Regions from separate parts of the Mus musculus genome. Here all the other regions are reported to be linked to region 1. The links are microRNA targets in miRTarBase. Many come from high-throughput screens and were not tested one by one. Region 1 holds a microRNA gene; each other region holds the end of a gene's coding sequence.

Region 1 (7,117 bases):
GCGAGGGGCCTTTGCCAACTAGTTACATTTTTTTAATTAAAATCCGTCACAAGGATGTTTTCTAGTTCTTACCCACCCCTCCTAAGATTCTCAATTCTAGAAATTTACAAAAACAGCTTATTTCCTAAGCTTCTAGCCACACAGTGTTGAAGCAAAAAACAGCACATGGGGGAGGTTTTGTTACAGCCGTTCTTCTGTTGGGGTCCTTACCTAACAATTGACAGAAACAGAAATGGCCTTCCATCCAGGGGGCATCCCCGGAGGTCCATCAGGGCTAGGTGGGCGCCGCGGCCACCACCCTCTGCACTGGCCATTGACAGCCACAACATTTAAGACTGCTTTTAGCTTTCCGAGTTTGTTCTCCCCTGTCTAGATGTCTTGAATTCAACATAGCCCAAGAAACAGTTCAGTTTTTTTTGTTTGTTTGTTTATTTGTTTCTTTTAAGTCATCAAAGAAAAGCAGGCGTAGGGAAAGCAGATGGGCCTGCGTGAGCAGGTCGGGGCTGCCTCGCGGCTGCCGCAATAGCCCTTTGGGAAGACAGATTTCTCATCGCAGGCGCGGGGGCTCGAGTGGGGGAAGGTCTTTTTGGTTCGCTCTTATGGGGGACATTCATTCTTGGTCCTTCTTTAAGCCACAGCTAACTCTGCTCTTGGAAAAGAAAAACAGTTACACAGCCACACAAGTACAACAAAAGGCGCCTCCCCGAAGTGGCTCTCCACGTCCGCAGGACGGGTGGCTGGACGTGTAGACGCACTTTTGTGCCTCTGTAATCTCGGACGTCCATCTGGCCCCGGCGGGCGAGGGCGGGCGGGAGGGCGCGGGCAGGGGAGGAGCGCGCGCACGCAACTAGAGGCGCGAGCACGCGCGCCCGCTCTCCTTCACTTTCACCTTGACTGCGGGGGGGGGGGCGTTGGTGGGGGCGACAAGAGACTATGGTCCTCCATCCCCCCACCTTCCGCCATTCGTCTTCCCACCCCCAGCACTGTCCTGCCCAGACGCCAGCCTAGGGAGGGGTGAGGAGGAGGCTGCACTGGCGCTCGGGTCGCCGCACCGCCCCGCAGCCTCGCGCTCTCCGCAGTGACAGCAACCACAACCGCAGCAGCACCCAGCTCCATCCTCACCAGCCTGGCTGAGCTACAGCCCGGCAATTCGGGCTGAGGACGACAAGCAGAAGGTGTGCAAGTGCCCCCGAGCTCCCCACTCCATTGACCGAAGCTCAAGAAACCGGGAGTGGGCTAGCGGCGGTATTGCACGGAGGGGACTGAGAAAAAGAGGACTGGAGACCATGAAGCTATTCAGGCAGGGGTAGGATTGAGCCCCCCGAGTCCACCCAGAGGACTTTGGCAGGGTCTGGGGCGGCCAGGGTGGCTTCAAGGGATCGGAGGGCTCTGACCACTGCAGATGCGGCGCGTGTGGGTGCGGTGAAAGCACCCACTTCTCCCAGGATCTAAACGGATAAACGGAAGCGAGTGTAAGTGTGGGGGTGCGAATCGCCACCTCCGGCCTTGGCTTTCCCGTTCGTGAGAGCACCCCCACTTCTCACTTTCCCCAAATCCGCATTTTTCTTGGCACAACCCTCCCGAACACCGAGCGAGGAGAGGGAGGTGCCCGGGGGCAGTGAGAGTGACGTGTGCTGGTGCAGAGGGGGGGGGGGGGGGCTGCGGGCCGGGCTCTGTGGACCTACTCCTAATCCTCTTGTTTTCGGAACTGTCAGCAGATGTGGCTTCTCTTAGCTGAATAATCCGTTAAAGGAATAATAATTTTTAAAAAGGACCTCGGCCTCACCCAACGAGGACAGTGAAGGAGATCAGCTCTTGGTAAGACTAAAAGAAAAGGCACTAAATTCTCTGCGTCCCTCTCTCTGTCTTCCTCTCAATCCCCTCACCCCCTCCCCCTCTCTTCTCTCCTCACCCCCCCCCCTTTCTCCCCCATCCCCTGCAATCCGCACTCGACGCGAGTTCACGCGCAGGGCTGGATTTCCAAGCTGCACTGCAACTTCTCAGCGCGTTATTATTATTCATCTGAGGGTGCAGCCTCTGCAACCTTCGCCTCCTGCGCTAGCATCCTTCCCCCTCGACCGCGGCCACCAGCAGAGCGGTTTCTTCTGCACGCGTGCTCTGGTTCACCAGAGGAGGATTCTGGCTTTTTGCTTTTTTGTTTTGGTGGTTTGGTTCGGTTTGGGGTTTTTTTTTTTTTTTTTTTTTTTTTTTTTTTGGTTTTGTGTCTTAATTCTTTCAGGGTCATCGCCAGGATGCTTTTCCTCCGGCCAGGTGGAGCCAGCATCAGCGCCTGCCAGCAGCAATTCCCTTCAATAGCCGAGGAAGCACTTGGGGCTTGGCCAGGGAGGCCGCTCCTTGCTTGCGGGGCTGACTTTAGCCTCCACTACTCTCCCGCATCCATCTGCGTGTATATTATCCCCATCCCTTTTTATTCCAATAGATCCGCCTTTGGTTTGGACTGGCTGAAACGCGGCGGACTGCAACCAGGATCCTTTAAAGGAGAACAAAAAGATGAGGATATTGTGCGGGGGTTCCGGGACAAAGCGTCTTGGGACGCGCGGAACTCTGGCTCCCCGATTGGAGAGATCAACGCTGCCCAACAGTACCCGGCCGGACCTGCGGACCTCTGAGGTTATTCGGACTCAATTTTATTGATTTTTGTGGCATGCTTTAAAAGGGTCAGTGTTAGGTAAAGACTGTGTCCCCCAACCCTGTGGGGTGGGTGGGAAGCTGAACGGAACCGATCCAGTTAGATTTAACTTGTCCTCTATGCCCTCTACCTGGCTTTTTTGAGCCATTGGGAAGGAGAATGGGGAAGGCTTAGAAAAGAGAAAGGGGGGGGGGGGACGACTGCCTGAAAGGATAAGGCACTAGTAGGGAGTGGGATGGACCAGGTGAGGGAGGTCTGTGGGTTAGGAAGCACCTTCCTCACTCTGGTGCACTGGGTGGGTTTGTTCAGGGAATGGCAACGTGGGTGTCTGTTGAAAGCAGTCTTGTGAAATTGACATGTACATGCATAAGGTGACTGGACTTGTGTGTAAACAGAGTGATGGAGAGCAGAGAGGGAGGGGTCTTAAAATAATATTTTATTGTCCCTATGGATTTGGGGATCTCTCCCCCACCCCACCCAGCTACATTCTATAGGGGTGACCTTTTAAAATCTACACCCACCCTTTACCTCTGTAAAACCGGTTGACGGGTGGGGTGGGGGAACATGTAGGGGTGCGCGCTCTCTCTCTCTCTCTTTTCCCCCTCCCCCCTCCCAGTCTCCCTCCTCCCTCTGTCTCCCCCTCCCTCTCCCTTCACTCCTCCCTCTCTCGCTCTCCCTTCGCTCCCCCTCCTTCTCTGTCCCTCCCTGCTGCATTTTGCATGAGCTATCTAGGTCATTAGCATTTTAGCGTATGCAAGACTTGACAAGGCTGATGAGGGGCCAGATGGGCCTCGCTCTTATTTATTTATTTTTTTTTTCTTTTCCTTTTTCCCATCCACCACTTGGGACCTAAGCGAGAGGACCGCAGCAGGAGAGTTCCGGAAGGCTGATTCCCACAGATCCTGGTAAGGGACCGCAGCAGCTCTGCCCTGCGGCACGCCCGGCCAGGCTACACCCGGACCCTACACTCAAGGTAAAGGCGGCGGTCACAAGCCCTGCCCAGGCAGCAGTAGCTGGGCCCCTGCTTCCCATCCCTTTCCTCTCCGTCATCTCCCTCCTCCTGGCCCCCCTCAGTTTCCTAGGCGAAGCTGAGAGCGAACTGGGTGGGTAGGATTCGCTGCGGTGGGGCGAGGTGGGGTTGATGTTTTTTCATTGTCTGGAACTGCAGGGGAGGCGAAGCGCGAGGAGAGGAGTGAGGGAGTCGGGGTAATTAACACGGGGGAGGCACCCCTCCGTCTCCCACTTCCACCCACATCCCGAACCCTCCACCCCCCTCCCCTTTGCAGGAAAAAGCTTGGAAACGAAAGGATGCGGGAGAACAAAGAGCCTACGGAGGACGTGGCTGTTATCTCATTGTCTGTGACTGGGGGAGCTGCGGTAGGAAGGATGCGGTGGTCCTTAGCTCATCGCGTTCCCCAACCCCACACCCTCCCTGCTGTCAGTGCGCACGCACACGCACGCGTCGCCAGCTTTTTCTTTCTCATCTCTCATTTTTTTCATCTCATCTTCTCCCCATCCCCTCCCTTTCTTTCCACCTTTCCTTCCTTTCTTCCTCCCTTCCTTTCTCCCATCCTCCCTCTCTTCCATCCTTCCTTCCTTTCCATCCTTCCTTCTTTCTTTCCTTCCTTCCTTCTTTCTTTCCTTCCTTCCTTCTTCCTTCCTCAGGAGAAAGGCCTCTCTCTCCGTGTTCACAGCGGACCTTGATTTAAATGTCCATACAATTAAGGCACGCGGTGAATGCCAAGAATGGGGCTGTCTGAGCACCTTGGGTCCACGAGGGCCTGCCACGGAAGGATCGACCCAGCACAACGCCCTGGGCAGATCTCAGCGCTGCAGCTGCAGGCGCCCACAGTACGGGTAGCAGGCTTCTGAGTGCCTCGCAAAGTAGCCCTTAGGGTGGGGAGGTGTGCAGCTACCGACAGAGAGGGGTTTGTGCAGATGCAAATAGAATCTAGGAAGCAAACAACTCATTCTGTGACAGAAACACGGATCTATGCAAGCGGGGGGGTGGTGGTGGTGGTGGCGGCGGCGGCGGCGGCGGCAGAAAATAGCCTGGGGACGGCTGGAGAGTAAAATGTGCCCCTCAGCTCTGGGACCCTGCCCATTGTAGAAGGCCGACACCTTCATCCCTACCTGTCTTAGTTCCGGATTTCAATTTATTACCCTTAAACAAATAATAATAACCAAGTACCCATGCGACTGGCAGACTGCCCCAAAGCCTAGACTGCAGCTACCTTGTATTGTGCTTGGGGTTGCTGGGGTAGTCTTTAGGGGAAGCTGTTTGTCACCCGTTGGTGGAGAGCTGTGGGCATTTGACAAGCTTAAACAGATCTCTGGAGTGAGCGAAGGCGATCGGCAAATTTGTTCATGGACAGCGCACAGACTCCATCAAAACTGACAGCTAGCCCACTGCTCTAAAGCAGGGCCTCCCAGCCTCCTTGGGGCTGTGGCTGAAGTTTCAGGCAGAAATCCAGAAGCTACAGGAAAAGGAGGCGCAGCCCACCCCCAGCCCCCAGAGTGTGGGCCTCTCCCCATCGCTCTTAAAACCCCAAGACAGAAGGAAAATCAGCATGAGTAAGGTGGAGGCCTAAGGAAAGTCTGTTTTGAAGCAGGCTGTCCAGGAACAGAAAGGGTTAATCCTCCCTCATCCTGAAGCACCTGCTTCCCAAATCAGCCCCCAACAGCAGCAGCTGGTCCTGGAGGCCCCCGACACAGTTCCATCCCGTCTCCATCTCAGTGTTCCGCCAACCTGCAGTGGATGGATGATGGCCTGGTGGCCGACCTAAACTCATTAATTTTCAGGTGGAGTAAATGGAGGAGGGGCAGGACCCAGCAGCAGAGGGAGGGAAAGGAGGCCAAGAGCTGGCCTCCTCCCCCCCCCCACAACCCACCCCCAGGAAGCAGGCTGTAGCCCTCCCCCCTGCTGTCATGCCAGAGGCCTGCCTTTGCAAGGCCAAGCCCATGAAGGATGTTTAGGAGTTTAATCTGATTCCTAACACAGTAATCAGGGTCTAAAAGAGCATCCGTTGAAGTTAATGGAGGACTCTTGTCTCAAAAAGCCTCAGCCTCATCTAGTCTAGTAAATTAGTATTTGAGGGTATATCATAGATCAGTACCTCTCTGGCCTAGTTTCCTCAAGAGTATTCATTATTTCTTGAGTATCTACTATGTGTCCTTCTTTACGATGATTTCAACTTCTAAATTTCCTCACAGAAGAGAATGTTAGAGCTAGCCAGGCTGAGCTTCAATTTACCACATTCCACCTAGGCATTCCCAGAACCTTCTCCCGCTCTGCAGAAATAAGCCACCGCCTGCTTACTCTTGCAGGCAGAAAGCTGCAGTGCCCACACCCTGAGGGTGTCTCTGGCTGAGTCCTACCGGACAAGCCAGACTGCTTTCAAGGCAGAAAGGGAAAGACCCAGCCACAATGGCTGTCCTAAGAGACGCCATAGCCATTGCTTCGAGAAAATCTACCTCCCTTGAAATAAAAATTGGCCCTTTCCTGGGGTGCTCCCTCACTTCACAAATGGGTTAGAAGAGAACGGCTAGTGTGCTGTACCATTTTGGGGGTACACCCATTTGCCCCCCCCCCCCCGTGCTCATTGAGATGTTATTTTGCCTTCAAGCAATGGCCTAAGCAGATGATGGCCCAACCCCCCTGGACCACAAATATCCCCATTAGCAATCCTCTACTCAGTAATTGCTTCCCCATGATTCTTTCAAATGTCCCCTCGTCCTTCACCGATATTTCATCTTACGTAACCCCCAGATGCTTCCCCAAGTAAAGTCCTTTTAGGTAGAAACCCAATATGCTTTTGCTCTGAGAGCGCAAACCGCAGGCACCATCCATAAGGCCTGCCTGGGATCTGCTACGGAGGATCTGAGTTGGGAGGGGTGCATTGTTATTTTATTGCTTACGTAAAACTCTTGTTCCAGAAAGTATTATTCGTGTGTTATTGGCGTGTGGGAGTGTTCTGGACTGGCCAGTCTATGTGAACCAGTGTTCGTATGTGTCTACCAGATCCCCTTCCCAGAAGGGGTTTGTATGTAGGACTCTAATGACCTGCTCAGCCCCAGGTATAAGTGCAAACCCCTTTTGTTTCCACCAAATGAAGAATCAGAGCCAAGGTCAGCCTGAGCCACCTCCTTCCTCTACATTCGCTGCCCTTCTCTGCCCATCAATAATTATGCAGAGAAGCCTTCTGCTCTCTCAAGGCACCTCCTGGATTCTCAGCATCATCTCCCCTGCCTATTTGAACCTTCTAATTACATCTTATGGCGAAAATGAAGGGAGGAACTTGCGATCTAACAGTAGGATGAGGCTGCCATAGTTTGATGGCTGTATATGTTTTCTTTTTCCCCTTGGGTTTATTCACACCCGCTACTGCCTTAGTCCCCACTGGGTACAATCTCTTGTGTTTCTTAAGGAACCCGGTACTTGGACTAGATTTAGTAATGTATCAAAGG
Region 2 (7,117 bases), not on the chromosome of region 1:
GAACAAGCGATGAAGCAATACATGCAAAAACTCACAGCCTTCGAACACCATGAGATTTTTAGCTACCCTGAAATATACTTCTTGGGTCCAAATGCAAAGAAACGCCAAGGCATGACCGGTGGACCCAACAATGGTGGTTATGACGACGACCAGGGATCGTACGTGCAGGTGCCCCATGATCACGTGGCTTACAGGTACGAGGTCCTCAAGGTCATCGGGAAGGGGAGCTTTGGGCAGGTGGTCAAGGCCTATGACCACAAAGTCCACCAGCACGTGGCCCTGAAGATGGTGCGGAACGAGAAGCGCTTCCACAGGCAGGCGGCCGAGGAGATCCGGATCTTGGAACACCTACGGAAGCAGGACAAGGACAACACTATGAACGTCATCCACATGCTGGAGAACTTCACCTTCCGCAACCACATCTGCATGACGTTCGAGTTGCTGAGCATGAACCTCTATGAGCTCATCAAGAAGAATAAGTTCCAGGGCTTCAGCCTGCCTCTGGTGCGCAAGTTTGCCCACTCCATTCTGCAGTGCTTGGATGCTTTGCACAAGAACAGAATAATCCACTGTGACCTTAAGCCCGAGAACATTTTGTTAAAGCAGCAGGGTCGAAGCAGTATTAAAGTGATTGACTTTGGCTCCAGTTGTTACGAGCACCAACGCGTCTACACGTACATCCAGTCACGCTTTTACCGGGCTCCGGAAGTGATCCTCGGAGCCAGGTATGGCATGCCCATAGACATGTGGAGCCTGGGTTGCATCCTCGCGGAACTCCTGACGGGTTACCCCCTCTTGCCTGGGGAGGATGAAGGGGACCAGCTGGCTTGTATGATCGAGCTTTTGGGCATGCCCTCTCAGAAACTCCTGGATGCTTCCAAACGAGCCAAAAATTTCGTGAGCTCCAAGGGTTACCCCCGATACTGCACAGTTACGACTCTTTCAGATGGCTCTGTGGTCCTCAACGGGGGCCGATCCCGGAGAGGGAAACTAAGGGGTCCGCCAGAGAGCAGAGAGTGGGGGAACGCACTGAAGGGATGCGATGACCCTCTTTTCCTTGACTTCTTAAAACAGTGTTTGGAGTGGGATCCCGCGGTCCGCATGACCCCGGGCCAGGCTTTGCGGCACCCGTGGCTTAGGAGGCGCTTGCCAAAGCCTCCGACCGGAGAGAAGACAGCGGTGAAGAGGGTCACAGAGAGTACTGGTGCTATCACCTCCATTTCCAAGTTACCTCCACCCTCCAGTTCAGCTTCCAAGCTGAGGACTAACTTGGCACAGATGACAGATGCCAATGGGAATATTCAGCAGAGGACAGTGTTGCCGAAACTCGTTAGCTGAGCTCCAGTCCCCCTGATGCTGGCAATCTGAAGAGAGAGAGAGAGAGAGAGAACCGCGTTATAGCTGAGCCTTACTGGGTTGAAAAAGTGTAGCTCAGACCTGTTTTTATTTGCTCAATAACTCGACTCATTTGTATCTTTTCAGCACTTGATGTAAGACTGTTTTGTTTTTATAAAATACATGGGGACAATGCTTTAAGTTTTTATACTTTCTGAAACTGTTTTTGTTTTTGGTTTTTGTTTTTTTGTTTGTTTTCCTTCCTTGTGTTTCTAAAAGTACGATGAGCCTTACTGTATTTAGTGTGGCAGAGAAATCACATTGGTGGCAGGCCATTGATTCTTCATGACTGTCACACATTTACAGATTGGTCAAACACATTCACTCTGTTTTCGTGGTTTTCGTCCCACTCCCCAGGGAGGTGGTCCCCTGAGGCCCCCCTCCTCTCTCCTGGCTCCAGGTTCACACGGAAGCAGCCCGCCTTGCCTCCATTTTTCATAAATTAATCTGGGTCAGAGTGGAGGAGGGAGAAGGGGGGCCGGGGTGAAAAATCTCTAAGGAAAACTGCACTTTCGAGATTTTCTTTTTTTCCTCACGGTCTGTTCAAATGATTACAAAATAGGATTGCCCGCTTTCAACTGCCCACTTAACATTCTGATGTGCTTAAGCCACCGAGCCGCATTTAGTGGATAAGTGGAAACTGAGATGTGTCCGTTCCTCCCGAGGCACTAGGATGATGGCGGGCTGTCATAATCAGGAAGCCTTCTGGTTACGGAATTGCTTTTGCACCTAATTTTAAGGACTCCCCCTCCCCCACAGTGTTCCCTGCTGCCTTTTCTCTTGTTCGCTCCTCTTCCACCACACACATCTGTTGCCTGCGTTTAGTCTGTCTTTTTTGTCCATCCCAGACCAATAACACAGAGAGACATTTCAGCTGCCATTCTGTCTACAGTTTTGTACCCCAAAAGAACATCGGCCTAGCTACCTGAGGTGGGGATTTGCGTAGTTCCAAAGAAGAGTTAGCCGCCTAGACTGGAGTCAGTTCACACTGCAGGTGCCACAGAGGTTCCCTTAGCCTGGGGAAGCATCAACTCTTTCGTTAGAAAGAATAGGGGTTGCAAAGGGAGGAGAAATTCCAATGTCAAGTTAAATGGCCTGACTTATTCTCTGATTCACTAGAAGAGCCCCAGGAAAAACACTATTCCTCTGTTGAGTTGACTTTTTCTTTTGAATCGCACTGAGTGTTTTTGTGGGGAATGACGCTTTACCTGAGAGAGTAACTGAGAGTTAGGTAAAAGAATATTTTCTTCTCTGAATAATAATTATTTTCACAGTGAAAATTTCAGTATTTTATCACTAATGTATGAACAGTGATATATATCAATTTCAAGGCACGTGGAAAGAATTTTTTAGTATGTGCAATTTAATAGAGAAAGATTTCTGCCTGTTTGGACAATAGGTTTTGGATAGTAAAAATTAGGATAAATAATCTTTTATATGCACAGATATTATTGTATTGCCTGTAAATCGATTTACAAGTACTTAAAGCACGGTCCCCAGCGAGGCCAAGAAAGTTTCCGGTTAAGTTTTTTTAATTCTATGTTTTCTCTTACTTAAAAAAAAAAGAAAAAAAAAGAAAAAAATAGAAAGTGTCATTTTGAATAAAACATTTTTCTTATCTTGAGGCTTTGCCAGTTGATGGTGGAAAAATATGCTCAGGAATTATTTCAAATATTTGCCAAAAATCAGTAATAAGATTAGCTTATTAATAAGTTAGTAATATCGATGTTTGCTTTACTATTTAAGGATGTCATTGATAAATTAATTTGTACCCCTGTACTTAGCAATTATAGCTTATTTCCCCTAGTCAAACTCTTTAGCATACTATACACAGTTCTGTGTAATCTGTGAAGTGCAATAATATGTCAATAAGTTACATAAAGATGCCCATGTGACAGCACCCCCAATCAGTGGCTTAGAGGGCTTAAAAATGCTGTATTTATTTTTAAAACTTTGGCTTAAAGGCATAAGAAGTATAAAGAGTCGGTCTGGGGACTTTATAAAGCTATGAGCCTCTTAACGATGGTTATTGTCTTTAGGTCATTAAAATAAATTTTTAAAAATGGACACTATTTCCCCTCCCCGCCAGGCTCCCTTCTTCTGTTCTCACTTGGTTGCTGCCTGAGCCTGAGTCTAAGGTTACTCACTCCCCTAGAACCTCACTGTACTTGCAACAGTTTAGAAGTGGACTAAGATGGTTTGCCTTTCCCCCACCACACAAAACTGGTTCTTCGTAGATGCCAGCGGAACTTTTGTGAGGAGCTTTACCCATATATGGAACCATCATGTGCTACAAGGCTTTTGTTTCCTTCTCTCCCCCCACCCTCCTCCCGGGACTACAGTGAAATTTCCTTTATTCACAAAAACCGTGTCAGCATTTACTGATACCGCTGCTTTGAGGAGAATCTTATTTAACTATTGTGTCTAAAATGAAACTGTTGCCTCTTCATGATCTTCACCTAAGTAAAGGGCTCTGATAGCGACTAGGAGTTGGCTTGGAAACAGGTCTCACAGGTTACCATTGTCTAGGGATGTCTCAGCTGTTTTCAGATTTAGGAATAGCACAGTGTAGTCTTGTCTTTGGTTGCAGTCTCACTTGGCTCTGTTTCTTGCACTACCAGAGTGTTCTTAGCACAACCGTGGAACACGGAGGGACGCAGGGCAGCATAGATTAACATCGTAGAGGAGAAATTGTGCCCTTAGTGTTAATAATGTGCCTTTTGTTCTGAATGCCATGTTACAGGGCATGCATTTTTGGCCTCTTTAACTCTTTGAATGAGAGGTAGTAAAGAGGGATGCCACCTCTGCGGAGATAACATCTGTCTTAAATATCTAGATTTATAGGCCTTAATAGAAACCATAAGGCGTGAATTGTCACTGGATGCTGAGCAAGATAACTATTGGTTAGTTACGCCAGGAATTCCCACGTTTAAGAGGTTAAAGATGGTCTTTGTTGTATCTTAACATCAGACTGATTTTTTAACGATAACTTTTTTGTTGTTATGCTAACACTAGACAAAAAAAAATCAACTGTATTTGTAAAAATTTACCTCAAACCATTTAATTTTATAGTGTGATTGGTTAATCCCAGGGCATTTGGTATGAACCAAAGTGCATTCCTTTTTTTTATGTGCCTGGCTCCAGTAAGGATGGCCAGGGATTTTTACAATTTGGGTGCATGACACTTAAGCCACTTTTAAACTTACTGGGCGGTGTGGGGTCCTGTTAGACGACTCCATCAGAATGTCAGAAAACACTTTAGGCATCAGTAGCATTGGGCCATATTGGAATCTTAAAAGCGCGAATTATTTTAAAAGAGAACATTCATTTTTTGTAATTTTTTTCATCAAGACTATTTCTGGTAACAGAAGATTTTTTTTAAAATAAAAAATAATAATAAAAAAAATCAACGGATTCGGTTGGTAAAGGTTTTAATATTGCCCAACATAATGCTGTGGTAGCATTAAAAAAAAAGTATTTGTGGACTCTGTTTTTAGGGGCTTGTACATCTCTCTGCTATGGACATATATACGATACATTGTAATTATATCAGCTCAACTGCTGCAGTTATGTCTAGGCGGGGGCTTGGGTTTTTTATCGAGCAACACCTTAGACACGTGACTGTATTAATGCTGCAACTGTGTGTACTGAAAATATGTGAAATGGTTGAATGTGGACTGTGTATATATGTATGTACAGATTTCTGTGAGATGCTGCTGTTGCCACTTGACATGGGAAGTGTTGTAGTGGGTCTGAACCCTAGCGACCAGTTCTATGATACTGTATGCATTGTACAGCCAGAGCAGAAGTAAGACTGTTTAGTGAATTATTTGTTAAATTTTATTGTTGTGGCCAGAGATAATTTCAGAATAAAATTTTAATGTCCTACCTTACATCTCACCCCTTTTTCTAACTGGAATCTCACCCTATTTCTCGTATGATTCTTCCTGGTTTGTTAAACCTGGGGAGACTCTTTTGCATGGCAGGTGGCTTGCGTCCTTAAAACCTTGTGTTATTTCTTCACTAGAAATATGCAGATTCTGAGGGTTTTTCTTTTCTTTTTTTTGTTTTTTTTTTGTTCTTGTTGGTTTTATGAGGTTTTAGGAAGAACCCCCCCCCCCTACTAAATCAGAGCTCTTTAGATACTTCTATTTCTCTTTGGTAATTTCATGTTAATTTTTCTTTATATGGTATCTGCTACATCCCATATCCTATACTAGAGCTTCGAATCCTTTTATCCTTCAGGCTGGAGGGGAGCAGGGTGCTCAGGTCTTTCCTGATATTCCTCACTCTTCCCTGTGGACCCTTCAGGTCCGTTATCTGAAGATGCTCTCCTATCTACCCCAGGCTTTCAGAAATGTGCATGCTTTTGCTAATTTTATGATTTTCCCTGGCTCACATTTTGGGGTTTTGGTGTCTCCTGACATGCTTGGGCCAGGAAATAAGGCTTGTGAGCTGCATCTAACTCAAGATGTGTTGAGTTAACACACTGAACATCTAACTCAAGATGTGTCGAGTTATCACACTGAACACCGATTTCTGGCTTACTTGCCAATGGCAACAAGCAAGCGGCTTCCGGTGCCTTATCCACAGTCAGTAGCATGTGCCAAAGGAAGGGAGCATGCGATTCCTAAGCCCAGTACAAAGGTCTTCAGATTTATCTTGCTTGCTGCTTATTCCACATCCGGTGTAAAAGCGCAACACACAGAACCAGTCAACCACAGAATCCACCAAACGAGAGCAAAACCAATGAACATGATGTATATGAAAACCCAAGCAGGCCCACGGCACCCAGGTCTGACTCAGTAAAGACCAGTTACCACCACTCTTACCAAATCTAAGTTTGTTCTGAAGTCAATTAAGGCTATATTCTGTTTGAGTCTCTAGAACTGGTTACCTTTTTGGAACCAGCAAGTATACAAATAAGAATTCAGAAATAAGGAACTTCAATGCTGCTTTCAAACCAGCCTTAGAGAATGCCCCTTGTTAGCGCTGGCTTCGCTTACTGTTCTGTTAAGGAAGGGCTTTAGAAGAGACCCGAAACCACGGGTATCTGTGGCTTTGCTTTGTCTCACCTGTTTCTTCTAGTTTGAATTACACCTCTTTTCCTTCAGACTTAACACAAATAAACACTTGTCACCACTGACAGAAGCCCCTCCCCAAAGAAAATCTGACCACTGTGCTGTGTGTGCATGAGAGAATCGCGTCTTCATGCCAAGTGCTTGGTTTATTTGCTTTCCTCTTCGACTTAACGGATCGGCCGTGGTTGCATCCTCATTAACTGCGAGGGAGACGGGAATGGCCGATTTTTCTGAGTCTCGGAAGTTTAGTAAATCAAGAATGAGTGGTGGTTCTTCTGAAGTGTTAGCTGGCTGTGGTAAGGACTGGAAGAGGTGTGATTGTATTGCGTTTGGCAGCATGTAGGAGCAGCTCTCCCCACAAAGGGGAGAAAGCTCCCTGCAGATCCCACAGTGTCACAGGAGCATCCTTCATCCTTACGCACTCCTCTGAGCTATAATTATCCCCAGCTGATGCTGAAGAAAATGAAATGAATGATACCAAAGAGGCTTTGTAAAAACAGAGGGGAGAAGACTGGGAAGAAGAGAGGTTTGCTAGCCACCAATGTCTGAGGCTATCTTTTCAATGGAGACACCACAAAAATATTGAAGACTAGAACATTTTAGTCTCTTTAGCTCTACCTGCAGATTTAGATGCAGCTGCA
Region 3 (7,117 bases), not on the chromosome of region 1:
GACTTCTAAAAAGTATAGCTTGGAAGGAAGGTGGGGGCAGGAAGAGTGCCAGCCTAGGCTTCAGAGCTGTCCCTCCTGTTTGGGGGACTTTATGTGAAAATGGTCTCTCTCTAGCCCAGGCTGGCCTGGTCTGCTCTGAGCCTGTCATGTCCTAATTTTGTCATGTCCTAACATTTGGTTACATTCCCCTTAAAAGTTAAGGCCAGAAATTGGGAAGCTTAGGCAGGAGGACTGAAAAGAGTTTGAGGTCAGCTCAGGCTACTGAGACCCTCACATCAGGAAAGAAAAGTAAAAAAAAGAAAGGTTAAAGTCAATGTCAACAGGACCTGCTCAGCAGTTACTATGTGTGACCTCTTCCCTGTGGACCCATAGCAGGTGGCAAGCCAGGGGCATGTTAGGACTTGCCCCATACATGTGCTAGGCCCAGGCTCGGTTCTCAGGTGAGATGGAGCAGTCTCTATCTCAGTGTACCCTACCTGCCCTGTTGCAGGCTAGCCCCTTCCCCAAGGGCATGTCTCCCCTGCCCCTTGCAGACGTGGGCTGCAGGTTGGGGCAGGTGTTGCTAAGCAGCTCCCTTGCTGCAGTGATGCGGACCCAGGGCAGCCTGCGGCTCATCCTGAACACGAAGCTGTGGGCACAGATGCAGATGGATAAGGCCAGTGAAAAGAGCATCCGCATCACAGCCACCGACGCTGAGGACCAGGGTGTCAAGGTTTTCCTGATCTCGGTAAGCTTGAGGGAAGGTGGGGGTGGCACACTGGCTCGGTGCTGAAGACCGCTGATGTTACCAGTGGGCAGGCCCGGACACAAACCTCCCCTGGGTAGTTCCTGATGGCTGTGCACACACCTGCTGTCCCCTCGGTTAGACATCAAGGGTAGGGAGGGAGTTGGGGGGGGACGACACGACAGATCCCAGACCTCATTGTCCTGCCTAATTCTCCAAAGGGCACCTTGTTGGTAGTCTCTTGCTATAGAAGTCAGCTGACCAGGCCAGTGTGGCCTAGTCACAGGCTAGGGCCTACATGTGTGAACACTGCCCAGTGTGGCCGTTAGCCACACACTGCCACGTAACACCCTGCCTCCCCAGGCCAGCTCCAAAGACACAGGCCAACTGTATGCTGCACTGCACCACCGCATCCTGGCTCTGCGTAGCCGGGCTGAACAGGAACAGGAGGCCAAGGCGCCCCCACCTGAGCCAGGAGCCACCCGGGCCACCGAGGAGGAAGACAGTGATGAGGATGCTGTTCTGGCTCCCTCCGGTGTCACGGGGGCTGGTGAGCACCATGGGACCAGTGGGAGGGACCCCAGCTGGTGACTGTGTGCTGGGACTGAGAGACCTGCTCTCCCCACAGGCACAGGTGATGAAGGAGATGGCCAGGCTCCTGGGAGCACATAGCGGCGGAGCCACTGCACCAGGCTGCTGCTTTGTTGTCTGTCTGCTGCCCGTCCCTCCCTGCAGGCCGCATCATGGTGGTGTCTATTGCCGGGGTGGCCACAGGCTGGATCCGAGTGTCCCCTCTGCAGCAGACGGGGACGCCAGGATGCGGCTTGGGACTCAGACCTCATCATATTGATGAGTAGAAAGAACGTTCCCCCGCCCTCCTCCGATCGAAATGGCACATTGACACTTGTCACAGCTTCGTGGTGACCGTCCATCCCTGGGCAGCAACAAAGAGAACTCCAGGCTCAGCATTCTGTTGAGTAACTTGCTACCTGCTCGGCTTTCCACTCTGCCAGGTCCACATGGCAGGTGCCTCTCCTTCATTTCTGGTGGCTTGGCTCTTGAGGTCACAGATGAAGCTACACGTGGGCTGAGCTGACTTGATGCTCCTATGGGTGGTGCCCGGCCCCCACGGGGGTTCACTAGGTTTGGGCCTGAGAACACCTGTCTGGACAAAGGTGATGAAACCAAGAGAGCTCCTGCCTTCTTGCCTGCCTACGTGAACCACCTGGGTCTCCCTTAGCAGGTACCCAGCCCTGAGGTGACTGACCACCTAGGGCCCCTGAGAGGCAAAGGGAACCTGCAAAGGGCCTGTCCCCGGGCAGAAGATGAAGCCCCTACCCGTGGACTGTGTGGTTCCATCTCTGGCCAGGCCACTTCCAGCCAGCAAGGACACCAGAGGCTGCCTTAGCAGATGGGTCACACTGCTTCCAGCCTTAGCCAGCCAGTGACAAGTGAATCCAGACGTCACCCATGTGTTTTGGAACATTTATGTAAGATTGAAATGTATTTGAGAACTGCATTAAAACTTTTAACTAAAGCCCCAGACTCTTTTGCACCTGGCAGCCAGTCAGGCTGGATTTGGCCATGGGCCCCTGATGGGGTCAGTAATCAATCCAGCCATTGCTAGGCTTGTGGGTGGCCCTGCAGGAGACCTGGTCCAGCCAGTTCTTCAGCCTCCATTCTCACACATCCCCCCCTCCCTGTGTCTAGCTGGGGCCCCCTGGGACAGTGGTGGCAGAGGATGGCAGGTGGATCAAGGGACTAGGCTAAGTGCAGCTATTAGGCAGGTGAGAGTAGCTATGTCAGAGGTGCCAGGCGCTGTCTGCTGTAGTAGTCTTGGAACTCAGCTAGTGTGACCTGTGGATGTGCTGGCTGTGAGGGGACCCAGACCAATGACACTGCCTTAGGGGGAGGCAGCATCTTCTGTCCACTCCCCACTGCACACCCCTCTCAGGTCATCAACAGTCACCACACCATCCCCAGTTTGGTCCACGTTGGCAAAAGCAGCTGCAGTAACAGCTTCCAGAGTCTGGGACATGGGGGGCTATGGGAGGGGGACAGTGACTGTGGAGTACAGGGGTCAGCACCCATCACCAGCCCGTCAATACAGGCCAGCCTCACCCATAGCACCCATAGGAACTCCAGGTCCAGGGTCCCACTGCCATCACAGTCCCAGCGCCTGCATAATGCCCCTGCCTTGTCCACTTCCAGCCCCAGCTCTGCCAGGCCCTCCCTCAGCTCCCCTTCATCCAGGGGCCGGCTGCCATCCTTGTCCAGGTGACAAAAAAACCCTGAGAATCAAGATGGGGTTAGATGGATAGTGACTACCCAGGCCAGAATCTGCTGGGTTTGCTGTGGGTGAAGGCTCACCTGGCCAGTCCCTGGATGCCTGAGGCCCCTCCATGATGGTGTTCACGGTGTCCATTATGGGTACAGGTGAACAGCTGTGGTGGGGCGGAACTCCCAATGAGTTTCTGTACTCGGCCAGCCTGGCACAGACCTCAGTGATACTGTACAGCCCAGACAGAGCCTGTCTGTGTCCCTGAATCCTGCTCTGGAGCTCCAGGTAGGTTTGTGTGTCCTACCTGGCACAGCTGTTGCTAGGCAGTATGATTCTGGGGACTGGGAGGGCCCTCGCTGTGACCCCATGTCAAGCACATTGGCCAGCACATTGGCCAGCTAAGGAGACTGGGTGAAGTGACTCCCAGACCCACTGTGCACACCCCTGGCCACAGTACTTCCAAGCTTGGCTGGAGAAAGGGCCTTGTTTCCTGTGCCCCTCAGCCTACACTGTCCCTACACGGAACAGCCTAGCCAAAGCCAGTCTAGGGCTAGTTGGACATGGTGGCACTTGAGATGGGGACATATCTGAAAGTCTAAAGCCAAGTTGGGCTACCAATGGAAACCTTGTCTTTAAAAACTGAAAACTGGGGACCTGGTGGCATATGGCTATAATCCTAGCACTCAGGAGGAAGGACAAGAGTTCCAGGCTATGTGAAACTGTCTCAATGTTGAAAGAAAAATTATGGGGTTGCAAGCCAACCAGCATCATGATTCAGTTAATGAGAAGCTGAAGTGACATTTTGCTACCCAAATAGATGATGGCCTGCTAGGCTCCAAACATTGGCAAGTAGCAGAAAATTCTCATTGTTTTCAGATTTTGGTGCTGGCAATGGAACCCAGAGCCTTAGCATGCCAGGCAAATGTCGTTACGCCACACCCAAGGCACTATTGCTTTTCTATAATGTAAAACATAATTAACTCTTACAGTTGCTGCAGTGAATCCTTTCATGGTCTCAGCCCTTGGCAAGCTCTAAGATACAGCCCAAGCTATTGCAAGTCTTAGCAGTAAGATGCAAGGCTAGGGATAGCTTAGCATTACAGACCCCACCCAAGATACATACCCCAGTGAGGGGCTGGGGGTGTGGTCAGGGCGTGGAGTTCCACCTACAATCCCCTAGTGAGGGCTAGAAAGCCTGGGTAATATGAGTTTCGATATTCCTCTTGTCCCCTGAATTGCAAGTGGCCTCAGTTGTGCAGAGAAGTAGTTTTCCTTCACTTCTTCGGGCTGAGTTTCAATTGTCTCTGGGAATAACTTGAACATGGAAGCTGCAGGACAGCTGGCTAACTCCAGCCCCCTCCGCTGTAAAGTATGTATAAGGCCTAGCAGCGTGCTACCCCACAACAGGAAAAAAGGTAGAGTCCAGGTTGAGAAATAGCCAATTTATTCTGGTGCAGACAGGCCCTAGTCTGCCTTCTATACAGATAGCTCCCTTCTTTCCTCCATCCCCAAGAAAAAATGGGCCTCTGTCTCCCACACTGAGGGTCCATGTCAGACTCTGGGTAGACTGGATGGCTGGAGGCCCTTCTGTTTCGAACACCCCCTACCTTCTATCTTGGTGGCTGCTCAAGGACAATTTCCCTGAGCGCACAGGTCATGGAATTCAACAGACACCACCTCTGGGTGCAAGGGCTTGTGGGGCCCCTTCCTCTCACTGCTCTAACAAGGGCAATGCACCCTCACCATCATAGGCTCTAGGCAGCACAGAAACCAGGATTTAAAAAATAGATTCTCTTAGGGTATCAAAAAGGCGTCTTGCTACAAAAACATCATTGTCCCTGGAAACCAGGAAAGGGCTTATCAGGTATCCAGAAGGCTCCTGGCTAAGGCAGGGCCTCCCGGGCTGTGCTAGGCACTGATGGAGACAGAAGACAAAATTCCCTGCTTCATAGCCACTGCCTTCCCACTGAAAAGGTGGTCCCAGGATGGGGCTGTGGGTGTTTGCACAAAGCCTGTCATACTAGCACTGGAGATGCTGAAGCAGGAGGATCAAAAGTTTAAATCCAGCTTGAGCTACATAAAAATTTTAGAGGCCAGCCTGAGCTACATAAGACTAAGCTTCAGAAAAACTAGACCAAACAATCACAGTACAGGGCAGTGACCAGCTGGCAGGAATGACTTCAGAGATGCTGGTTGGAAGGCCCCTCCAGAAGGGGGCATTTGAGAGAGACCTGAGTGTCAAGGAACTGAGTGTGGAATCAGGGAAAGACATTGAGGCACTCTGGGTTGTGGTGTCTCAACCCACTTGTTCTTCCTAGAAGGGTAGAGCTATGGGAGAGAGATCCAAGATTAATGATTTGTCTTGGCATTAAGGATGGTTCAGGAGGCACAAGAGTGAGTAGAAAGAAAGGTAGGGAGTGCTCCCATCAGCAGGGCACGGTGGCTCACATCTAGATTCCAAGTACTTGGAAGGAGGATTCAAGGGAAGCCTGGGTTATAGAGAGAGACCCCATCTCAAGCAAAAAGACAAACTCCCCACAGGCAGGGCCTGTAGTGGGAGCCTGTCAGCCTAGCAGGGATCCATGCCACACTCCTGAGACAGCAAGCCTGGCTACCTGGGACCCTGTCCCAAACAGGAAACACCGAGGTTTCAGGGTCAGTCCCCACCATCTCACTGATGCTGGGGTGCCTGTCTGGCTTGGGCTTTGTGTATGCCTGGTGGAGAATGCTCCTCCCAGAGTTACCACCCTTACCTTCATTTGTTTTTGAAACTATTTAAAACCAGTGGAATGTAGCAGATACTCCAGCACTGGGGGGGGGGGGGGGGTTTAAATGAGATCTTGAGTTTTCACTTGTTGTGATGTTTAGATGGGATCCGGGTAATGTCTCAAGACCCCTCTAGGTGATGTCCAGGACTCTAAGAGTGGAATCCCCATGGGGCCGTGACCACAGATTCTGAGATCTGTCAGGACAGCTCACACCGTGGTCCCAAACACAGCAGGCTGCTGGTCGTCCTGGTCGTCCTGGCCCTCCTCCTTTCCCATGTTGTTGCCCAGGGGTGGGCCAGGCCCATCAGGAAGTAGCTGGGCCCTATGGCTGTGGCTGGCCGGCAAGGGGCCCAGTTCCTCTGCCTCCTCCAGGGTGGCCAACAGTGCGGCCAGGGGTGGTCGGTGGCGAGTGATGTCCTGCAGCAGGTCAGCCCGAGGCTGTAGCTGCTGGATCATCTGGTCCCTCTGGTCCACTGCGGCCTGCAGGCTGCGAACTGTGGCCTCAGAGCTCAGCAGCTGCTCTTGGAGGGCAGATATCTCCCTGGTAAGAGGACCAAATAAGGTAGTTACCTACAGGGGGTGGGGGTGGGGGCATCTACCTGCTCCAGAATCCTCTGAGACTCCCTATGTCTCCTCCTGCACTACTTCTTTGTGTGCTTGTTTATGTGCATAGGCGCACACATGTGACAGCAAACATGTGGAAGTCAAGGTACAATTTTCAAGAGTTGGTTCGCTCCTCCTGCCCCATGGGATCAAATTCTTTGTCATTCTTAGTGGCGAGTGTCTTTATACACAGAGCCATTGATGTCATTGGTAAAGCACCCTCAGCCCCACAGCAGGCCTGGCGCTCTGTCATCCCAGCACTCGAGAGATGGAGGCAGAAGGATCAGGGGTTGAAAGCTACATAGTGCCTTTAAGGCCAGCCTTCTCTCAAAAAACAAAACAGTGCCAGTTTTGTGTGTCCTTCGGTAGGACTTCCGCATGGTCACAAATGGTTGTCACAGATCTGACTATTCTATATAGGGGTGTTCTGTGCCTTTGTCTACCGATGTGGGCCCCTACCCAGCAGCTTCCTTCGATCATCAGACACAATACTCTTGCACCTACCGGCAGACTCGGCCTTGTGGGTGGGACAGCTGGCTTCATTTTAACAGTTTGAAATGCTCTCAAGTAACCCAGGCTATACTCTAAAGTCCCCATGTAGTCGAGGATGGCCCGAACTCCTGATCCTCCAGTCTCAGCCCTCCTAGTGCTGTGATGCCGGGCATTTAGTGCTCCGGAAATTTTTGCTCTCGGTTCCCAGCCCTTTCCACCCGCCTCCTTTGGGATGTCCGCCGGGCCTCC
Region 4 (7,117 bases), not on the chromosome of region 1:
AGGGCTGGCGCTGCAGGCAGGCCAGCCACCGTGCCCACTGTACTTGTATGTGGATGCTGAGGATTGTTTCTCTGGTTCTCGTGCACGGCAGGCTCTTTCTCCTCTGAACCATCTCCCCGGCCCACTGGCTGGTGCTCAGATTGACAGCGGGGTGCTCAGCACACGCGTGTTGCCTTAACTGTCACAAGAGAGCTTGGGAACAAGTGTAACGAACATGCAGAGATTGTTGAACTACTACCAAAATGAACGTAGTTATGAAACCATTCTGTGTCAGCAAGGTGGCTCAGCTGGTAAAGGCAGCCGCTGACAAGCCTGACGGTCTGGGCTTGATTCCTGGGACCCACACACACAGTGGAAGGAGAAAACCACACTCCTGTAAGTGCGCGTATGCGTGCGCGCACACAGAGGAAGAGAGAGAGAGAGAAAGAGAGAGACCAAGACGACCAAGAGGACCAAGACCATCTAGGCCATTCTTTCTTGTCCTAAGCTGTCTGAATGTGTGCAAATACTTCACCAAGGTCAGTGTCAGACAGGCCATGGTTAGGGCCTCCTCACACACAGATTTCCTGTATTGCAGAGATGATGCGGGCGTACCTCCAGCAGCTGAGGCAAGAGACCGGACTGAGGCTGTGTGAGAAGGTTTTTGACCCTCAGAGTGATAAACCCAGCAAGGTGAGATGTCCCCTTCTGCCTGTTTAATTGGAGCTGGAGCCTCTGGCCCGTGGCCTTCTAAACCGCTGAAGTCTGCTGTCGAGAGCGATCATTTCTGCCTGCTCTGGAAGACCACGGCTATCGTTTATGTATGGGCTGTGTAGCCATATGTCCACAGTCTGTGGCTGTTGGTCCCTGCTGTGAAATGGCATGGCATCTGTATGTGATGTAAATGCCATGTAAAATGGAAATGGTGGCTCTGTTGCATCAGGTACAGAACAGTCACAGGGAGCAATCTGTGTGTGTGTGCGTGTATGTGCATGCATGCGTGTATACAGTGCGTGTCAGGGCCCCTTGGTTGGGGTGGGGGGGGGGGTGAACAATGGCCCAGGCTGGACTTGAGCTAACTGTGTGGCCACAGGTGACCTTAGCTCCTTCTGCCTCTGCCTCTAGTTCTGCAGTACACAGGCATGCTACCGCGTCTGCCTCACATGCCTTCCTGCCCGTGGGTGGATGTGATACGAGCCTCACGCCTGGGGAGGGCCAGGTGGACGCGTCTCCCTGCTCTGTGGGGTCACCTTTGAGTTCAGTGGGAGGTGTCTGCTGTTTACACTGTTGTTTGTCATAGAGAGAGGCTGGAATGCTGGCCCGCGCCCACACTTGCACTGTGCCCTGACCCTGAGCATATGCTCTGTCTTGTGCCTTTGACAGTGGTGGACTTGCTTTGTGAAGAGACAGTTCATGAACAAGAGTCTTTCGGGGCCTGGGCAGTGAGAGGAGCCTGGGCAGCACCATCACGTGGAGACACATCATAGGACACACAGGCCGATGTGTCTGTTCATACCTACCGTATCAAGGAGAGAAGAGAGCCTGTCTTTGCTGGAAAAGCTCTTGGTCAAGAATTGGGAGGGTGGGTGTCGGGTGATTTCGATTTTTGGCAGTTTTAAGCTGGTACTTAATATATAATAAATGTCACTGCTTATGTTAGACATTGAATTAAAACATTTTTGAGAAAAAGCTTACACACACTGTACCGTGTATGGGAAAGGGTGGTATATTGAGGGATAGGGCTTGGTTTTCTATTTATGGTTTGGTTTGGTTTGTCGTTTTTGAGCCAGCCTCACTGTGTAGCCCAGACTGGCCTGTAGCTCGTTTTGTCTCCCAAGTGGGTCTTAAACCTAAGTCCTCCCACCTTGACTCCCTGTCCTGGGATTGCAGGAGTTCTCCACTACGCTGGGCTCCATCAAATCCTTTCAAATAATGAACAGTTTGGTGGTTGTGAGTATGTATGTACAGTTTCATAACCATGACGTACATCTAATTCTACAACGCTTTTATTACCCCCAAAAGATGTGCCTTTAGCAGTGATTTCCCTCCTTTGCTGATAAGCCTCCTACCCCCACCCCCAACTTCTGGACTAGTCTATGCTCTATCTTCATAGACTTGTTTATTCTAGATACTTCATGTGATCATATGAGTTCTATAGTGGATAAGTCAGCCTTCCAGTCTGGCTTTGTTTAATTAGCGTGTTGCTAAGCCCATCCCCCCAGCTCCCCATCGCTCATGTAAGTGGAATCAAACAATAATTATCCGTTCATACCTGGCTTTTCACGTGGCACAACATCATCAACACCCACCCATGGTGGTGCATCCATGCTCTGTCCGTTCCTTTTTTATGGCTGAGTAATATTCCATTTGGACACAGATCACGTGTCTGTTCATCATCATCCAATGGATATTTGTGTTGTTTCTGTCTTGGAGCTCTGACTAAACACTGTTGTCAAGAACAGCCATGTACACATTTCTAATGTGGACACAAGTTTTCATTTTTCTTGCTTATCATAGCCCTCAGGGTAGGACCTCTTGAGTCACACGGGAACTGGAGAAGGCCTGCGTGGTTTTTTCCCCCCACACTTGTGCTGTTCCATATTCCCACAGTGACATGTGACTGCTCTGTTTTCTTCCATGTTTCACCAACACATTCCATTGCTCTCCCAGGGGCTGTGACGTGGAATCTCATTGTGCCTTGGTCTGTATTTCTCTTGAAGATGGTGAGCTGCTTTGATGTGGCCACTTACACACCTTCTCCACACAACTGTTTAGACTTTGTCCATTTTTCTTTCTTTTCTGGGGAAGGGTGAGGAAGTTTCAAGACAGGGTCGCTCTGTGCAGCCAGCCCTGGCTGTCCTGGAACTCACTCTATAGACCAGGCTGGCCTTGAACTCGCAGAGATCTGCCTGCCTCTGCCTCCCAAGTGTTGGGATTAGAGGTGTGTGCCACTATGCCTAGTGATTCAACCATTTTTCAAGTGGCTTAAGCCATTTTCCTTTTTGTTGTTGAATTTTTTTCCCATTAATTTATTTGTTTATTCGTTTTACATCCTGATTGCAGACCCCCTCACCTCCCAGTTCCCCATACAAACAGTCCCCTTCTCTGAGAAGGAAGAGGACCTGCTAGGTACCAACCCACCTTGGGACATCAAGTCTCTGTAGAACTAGGCACATCATCTCCCACTGAGGCAGCCCAGTTAGGGGAACAAGATCCATAGGCAGGCAACAGTGTCAGGGACAGCTCCCACTCCAGTTGTTGGGAGACCCGCATGAAGACCAAGTTGTACTACTGCTACATTTGTTGTTGAATTATAAGGGCTCTTTATATATTCTGGCTGCTAGACTCTCTCACGTCATTTGCAAAGCCTTTCTCACATTTTGTGGATTTTGCACGTAGAGTCCTGTTGCGCTCAGTAGTTTTGAACTTTGGTTCAAGTTCCATTTGTCTTGTTTCTCTAGTTACTTGTGCTGAGTTTTTAAAGATTTATTTATTTTATGTATATGAATACACTATTGCTCTCTTCATACATGCCAGAAGGATCCCATTACAGATGGTTATGAGCCACCATGTGGTTGCTGAGAATTGAACTCAGGACCTCTGGAAGAGCAGTTGGTGCTCTTAAATACTGAGCCATCTCTCCAGCCACTAGCTCTTACATATAGTTCTTTAACCCAGCTTATTAAATTATTATATATATGAAGTGCATGTGGATACAGTTGCCTGGGGAGACCAGAAGATGGCATCAATGGGAACTGAACTTGGGTTCTCTGCAAGAGCAACGAGCTCTCTTGGGTTGAGCCATCCCTCTATCCCCACATTGTGTTAGTTTTTGTATGTGAAGAGAGGTTAGATACTTTGTTCTCTGTGTATGACTAATTATCTCAGCAGCATTCATCAAAATGACTTTATTAAATGATCTTGGCTTCCTTATCAAAAATCAGTTGACCAAAGCCTGGTATGATGGTCCAATGACCTTTTATCTCAGTATCCAGAGGCAGAGTGGATTTTTGAATTACAGGTTAGCCTGGTCTACATAGTAAGCTCCAGGCCAGCCAGGGCTACATAGAGAGACCCTGTCTCAAAATGTATAGCTTTATTTCAAGAGTCTAGATCGCTGACTCATGTAACATTGAAATCAGTTCTGTATTTGGCCAATTTAAGCCAGCAGAGTGGTACACACCTGTAATCCCAGCACCCAGGAGTGTAAGGCAGGAGGATTATAAATTTGAAGCCAATCTAGACTTATAGAGTGGGTTCCAGGCCCTCTTAGGCACATAACAAGACCCTGTCTCAAGAAAAAGAGAAGTTTGATCAGTTTTATCATTTGGAAGGTTTTCTTGGGTTGGTGAGACAACTTGATGGGGAATAGATCTGCTACACAAAAGCCTAAATTTAGTCTTCAGAACCATTGCCAGAAGGAGACCCAACCCCCAATGTTGTCCCCTGACTGCTGTCATATGTCACATCCCCATCTTCCACAGTAATAGATACTACACACACACACACACACACACACACACACACACACACACACACACATACACACACACACACACACACAAACATACCCCTGGTTGTCCTGAAACTCAGAGATCCCCAGATAATCTTAAGAAAATAAAAGAGACTGGAGAGATTGCTTATCAGTTAAGAGCACTGGCTGCTCTTCCAGAGGACCTGAGTTCAATTCCCAGCAACCACGTGGTGGCTCACAACCATCTGTAACTCCAGTTTCAGATTTGATGCCCTTTTCTGGTCCTCTGTTGTTAACAGGCGTGCATGTAGTACACAGAAATATATGCAGGCAAAGCACCAATACACTAAAAATAAAATTGAAAAAAAAAAAAACCAGAATTGCTTTCTTTTTATGTGTGTGTACAGGATCTTGCTAGGTACCCCTGGCTGTCCTGCAGTTAACTGTGTAGGCCAGGCTGACCTCAAACTCATGTCTGCCATTCTTCAGCCACCTAAATGACCCTGGCAACCTGAATTTGGCAAGAGAGAATTGGGTCCCACAAGATGTCTTTTTTTGTTTGTTTGTTTTTTTGTTTTTTGTTTTCGAGACAGGGTTTCTCTGTGTAGCCCTGACTACCTGACTATCCTTGGAACTCACTCTGTAGACCAGGCTGGCCTCGAACTCAGAAATCCACCTGCCTCTGCTTCCCAAGTGCTGGTTTTAAAGGTGTGTGCCACCACTGCCCGGCCCACAAGATGTCTCACAGGTGGCAGATGTGCACCCCACCCAGCATGACCCAACTTTAAGGAAAGACCCCTTATGCGGCTGACAGAAGCAGGTGAGTGGCTGCAAAACGCTGTGTGGTCTGTATTTCCCAGTACTCCATGGGTCGGCAGACATTCCGGAAAGTGCCTTCGCTGCCCTCTTTGTGGCCCCTCTGCCACGCTGGCTTTTTTGGCAGTTGTTACAGTGTCTATGTTGGGATTGTATTTGGCCACAGCTACAGAAACCCCAGGCTTCTGTGCCCCTAGTTTTGTCCTTTGAGTCTGGAAATTGGCCAAGGTGTGGCCACGTGAAGACCTCCTTGGACCTGTGCTGTCTGCCCCATTCCACATTGGGTGCCGCACAGGCTCCGCCCCAAGGGTGTGGCCTGTGTCTCTGCTCTTGGCCGGAAGTGGGAAGTGGCTCGAGAGATGCTGCCCAGCAGAGAACACTTCTGCCCTCCCAGGCCATCCCATAGGTGGCTTGCCCTTGGGACTGGCCAGAAGGGAGCTCAGAAAGAGCCGTGGTTCTACACCTATCTTTTGTGTTGTGCTGTTGAGGACAAAGGCAAGACTGTGCAAAACTGGGTTTATTTATTTAAGTTTGATTCAAAACAGTTGGCAGCTGACTGTTTCCAGGTTGGTTTTATTTGTAAATATTTATTTATTTATTTATTTATTGGTTGTTGTGTGAACGTTTTGCCTGCATGAACGTCTATACACCATGCCATTGCAGTGCCCAAAGAGACCAGAAGAGGGCATCAGATTCCCTGGAATTGGAGTTCCAGACACTCCTGAGCCACTGTGAGGGTGCTGGAAACTGAACCTGTGTCCTCGGTTACCCTTTATAACGCAGTATAATTTTGGCGGGGTGGGGGTGGGAGGTTGGGGTGGAGTACCTCAGCGGGCCCACGCTGAGGCATCCCTTGAACAATCACACCATAGATAAGTCTAGTATAAAGAAAGTTTATTGGGGGAAGAGAAGACATACATGCAGACAAAACACCATGAAATAAAGTAAATTAAAAAAGAATCCTTTGTCTCCCCTACCTTTTATGTAAATGCCATAACACACGCGCGCGCACACACACATGCACACGCATGCCTGCCACCACCATTAAAACCCTTGTTTTCTCAGAGGTCACTGCTCCTGTCCAGGGATTTGATGTCCTGGAGCAATGATGTCTTTCCCTTCCTTATTTCTTAATTCCAGCGAGCTAATTCTTCTAAGACTAGCCAACTGAATAACACTGTGAGGTGGAGCCCAGAGAATGAAGAAGAGGCACGATTTTCACATCAGTTAGAATAAAAGCCAAGTGCACTTTGTCTTGTGTGCTTGCTTTTCTGATCAACAATAAACTTTGTCTTGTCCTGACACTTGAGTAGAGTGCTGCTCCTTTCTTTGTCACTACGAGCATATTCCCAATCACAGCCATGGCTGACCTCCAGCGTTCACACAGCCATGGCTGACCTCCGGCTTTCACTCGCACACACAGACACAGAAGCACATAAACCTGTATGTACGTTTTTTTTTTCTTCCTGCCCCATGGTCTTCTGGGAATCTTTTCCTCACAAGCTGACAGAGGAAGGATGTAAGGCTGGAGTATCCCCCCAATTGGGCCGGGCAGTGGTGGCACACACCTTTAATCCCAGCACTTGGGAGGCAGAGGCAGGTGGATTTCTGAGTTCGAGGCCAGCCTGGTCTACAGAGTGAGTTCCAGGACAGCCAAGGCTACACAGAGAAACCCTGTCTTGAAACCCCCCCCCAAAAAAAAAGAAAAAAGAAAAAAGGAAGGAAGGAAGGAAACTGGGGTTACAGCTTGAGATCCTGTTTCAAAGAGAGAGAGAGAGAGAGAGAGAGAGAGAGAGAGAAAGGAAGGAAGGAAGGAAGGAAGGAAGGAAGGAAGGAAGGAAGAAAAGA

The links. Region 1 holds the annotated microRNA mmu-miR-124-3p (UAAGGCACGCGGUGAAUGCC, at 4,373-4,392, shown strand). A microRNA usually pairs through its seed, bases 2 to 8, with sites in the 3' UTR of a target mRNA and lowers its output. Matches are read on the target gene's strand: a 7mer-m8 pairs with bases 2 to 8, a 7mer-A1 pairs with bases 2 to 7 and ends in A, and an 8mer does both.
Region 2: the mRNA of Dyrk2 is a reported target of mmu-miR-124-3p. The part of its 3' UTR that is shown has no 7-base or 8-base seed match.
Region 3: miRTarBase lists Vmac as a target of mmu-miR-124-3p. Seed matches in the 3' UTR shown: 7mer-A1 at 4,890-4,896.
Region 4: the mRNA of Arpc3 is a reported target of mmu-miR-124-3p. The part of its 3' UTR that is shown has no 7-base or 8-base seed match.

The regions. Positions count from the first base shown.
Region 1 is chr14:64,586,337-64,593,453 of GRCm38, forward strand. It overlaps Mir124a-1 (microRNA 124a-1), which reads left to right and starts at 4,321; the gene lies at 4,321-4,405. It overlaps Mir124a-1hg (Mir124-1 host gene (non-protein coding)), which reads left to right and starts at 1,779. Exons shown (of 4, transcript NR_040709.1): 1 at 1,779-1,818; 2 at 2,441-2,631; 3 at 3,505-3,623; 4 at 3,937-7,117. It overlaps Mir3078 (microRNA 3078), which reads left to right and starts at 4,849; the gene lies at 4,849-4,935.
Region 2 is chr10:118,853,773-118,860,889 of GRCm38, reverse strand. It overlaps Dyrk2 (dual-specificity tyrosine-(Y)-phosphorylation regulated kinase 2), which reads left to right. Exons shown (of 3, transcript NM_001014390.2): 3 at 1-1,541. The coding sequence ends at 1,338. Among named protein-coding and RNA genes, the nearest start is that of Gm40776, 8.6 kb to the right of the region's middle.
Region 3 is chr17:56,709,504-56,716,620 of GRCm38, forward strand. It overlaps Vmac (vimentin-type intermediate filament associated coiled-coil protein), which reads right to left. Exons shown (of 2, transcript NM_178926.3): 2 at 4,429-6,314. The coding sequence ends at 5,981. Ranbp3 (RAN binding protein 3) reads left to right here. Exons shown (of 17, transcript NM_001252466.1): 15 at 585-727; 16 at 1,088-1,274; 17 at 1,353-2,266. The coding sequence ends at 1,396. It also overlaps the pseudogene Ccpn-ps. Among named protein-coding and RNA genes, the nearest start is that of Vmac, 3.9 kb to the right of the region's middle.
Region 4 is chr5:122,404,507-122,411,623 of GRCm38, forward strand. Arpc3 (actin related protein 2/3 complex, subunit 3) reads left to right here. Exons shown (of 7, transcript NM_019824.4): 6 at 578-672; 7 at 1,363-1,675. The coding sequence ends at 1,425. Among named protein-coding and RNA genes, the nearest start is that of Anapc7, 14 kb to the right of the region's middle.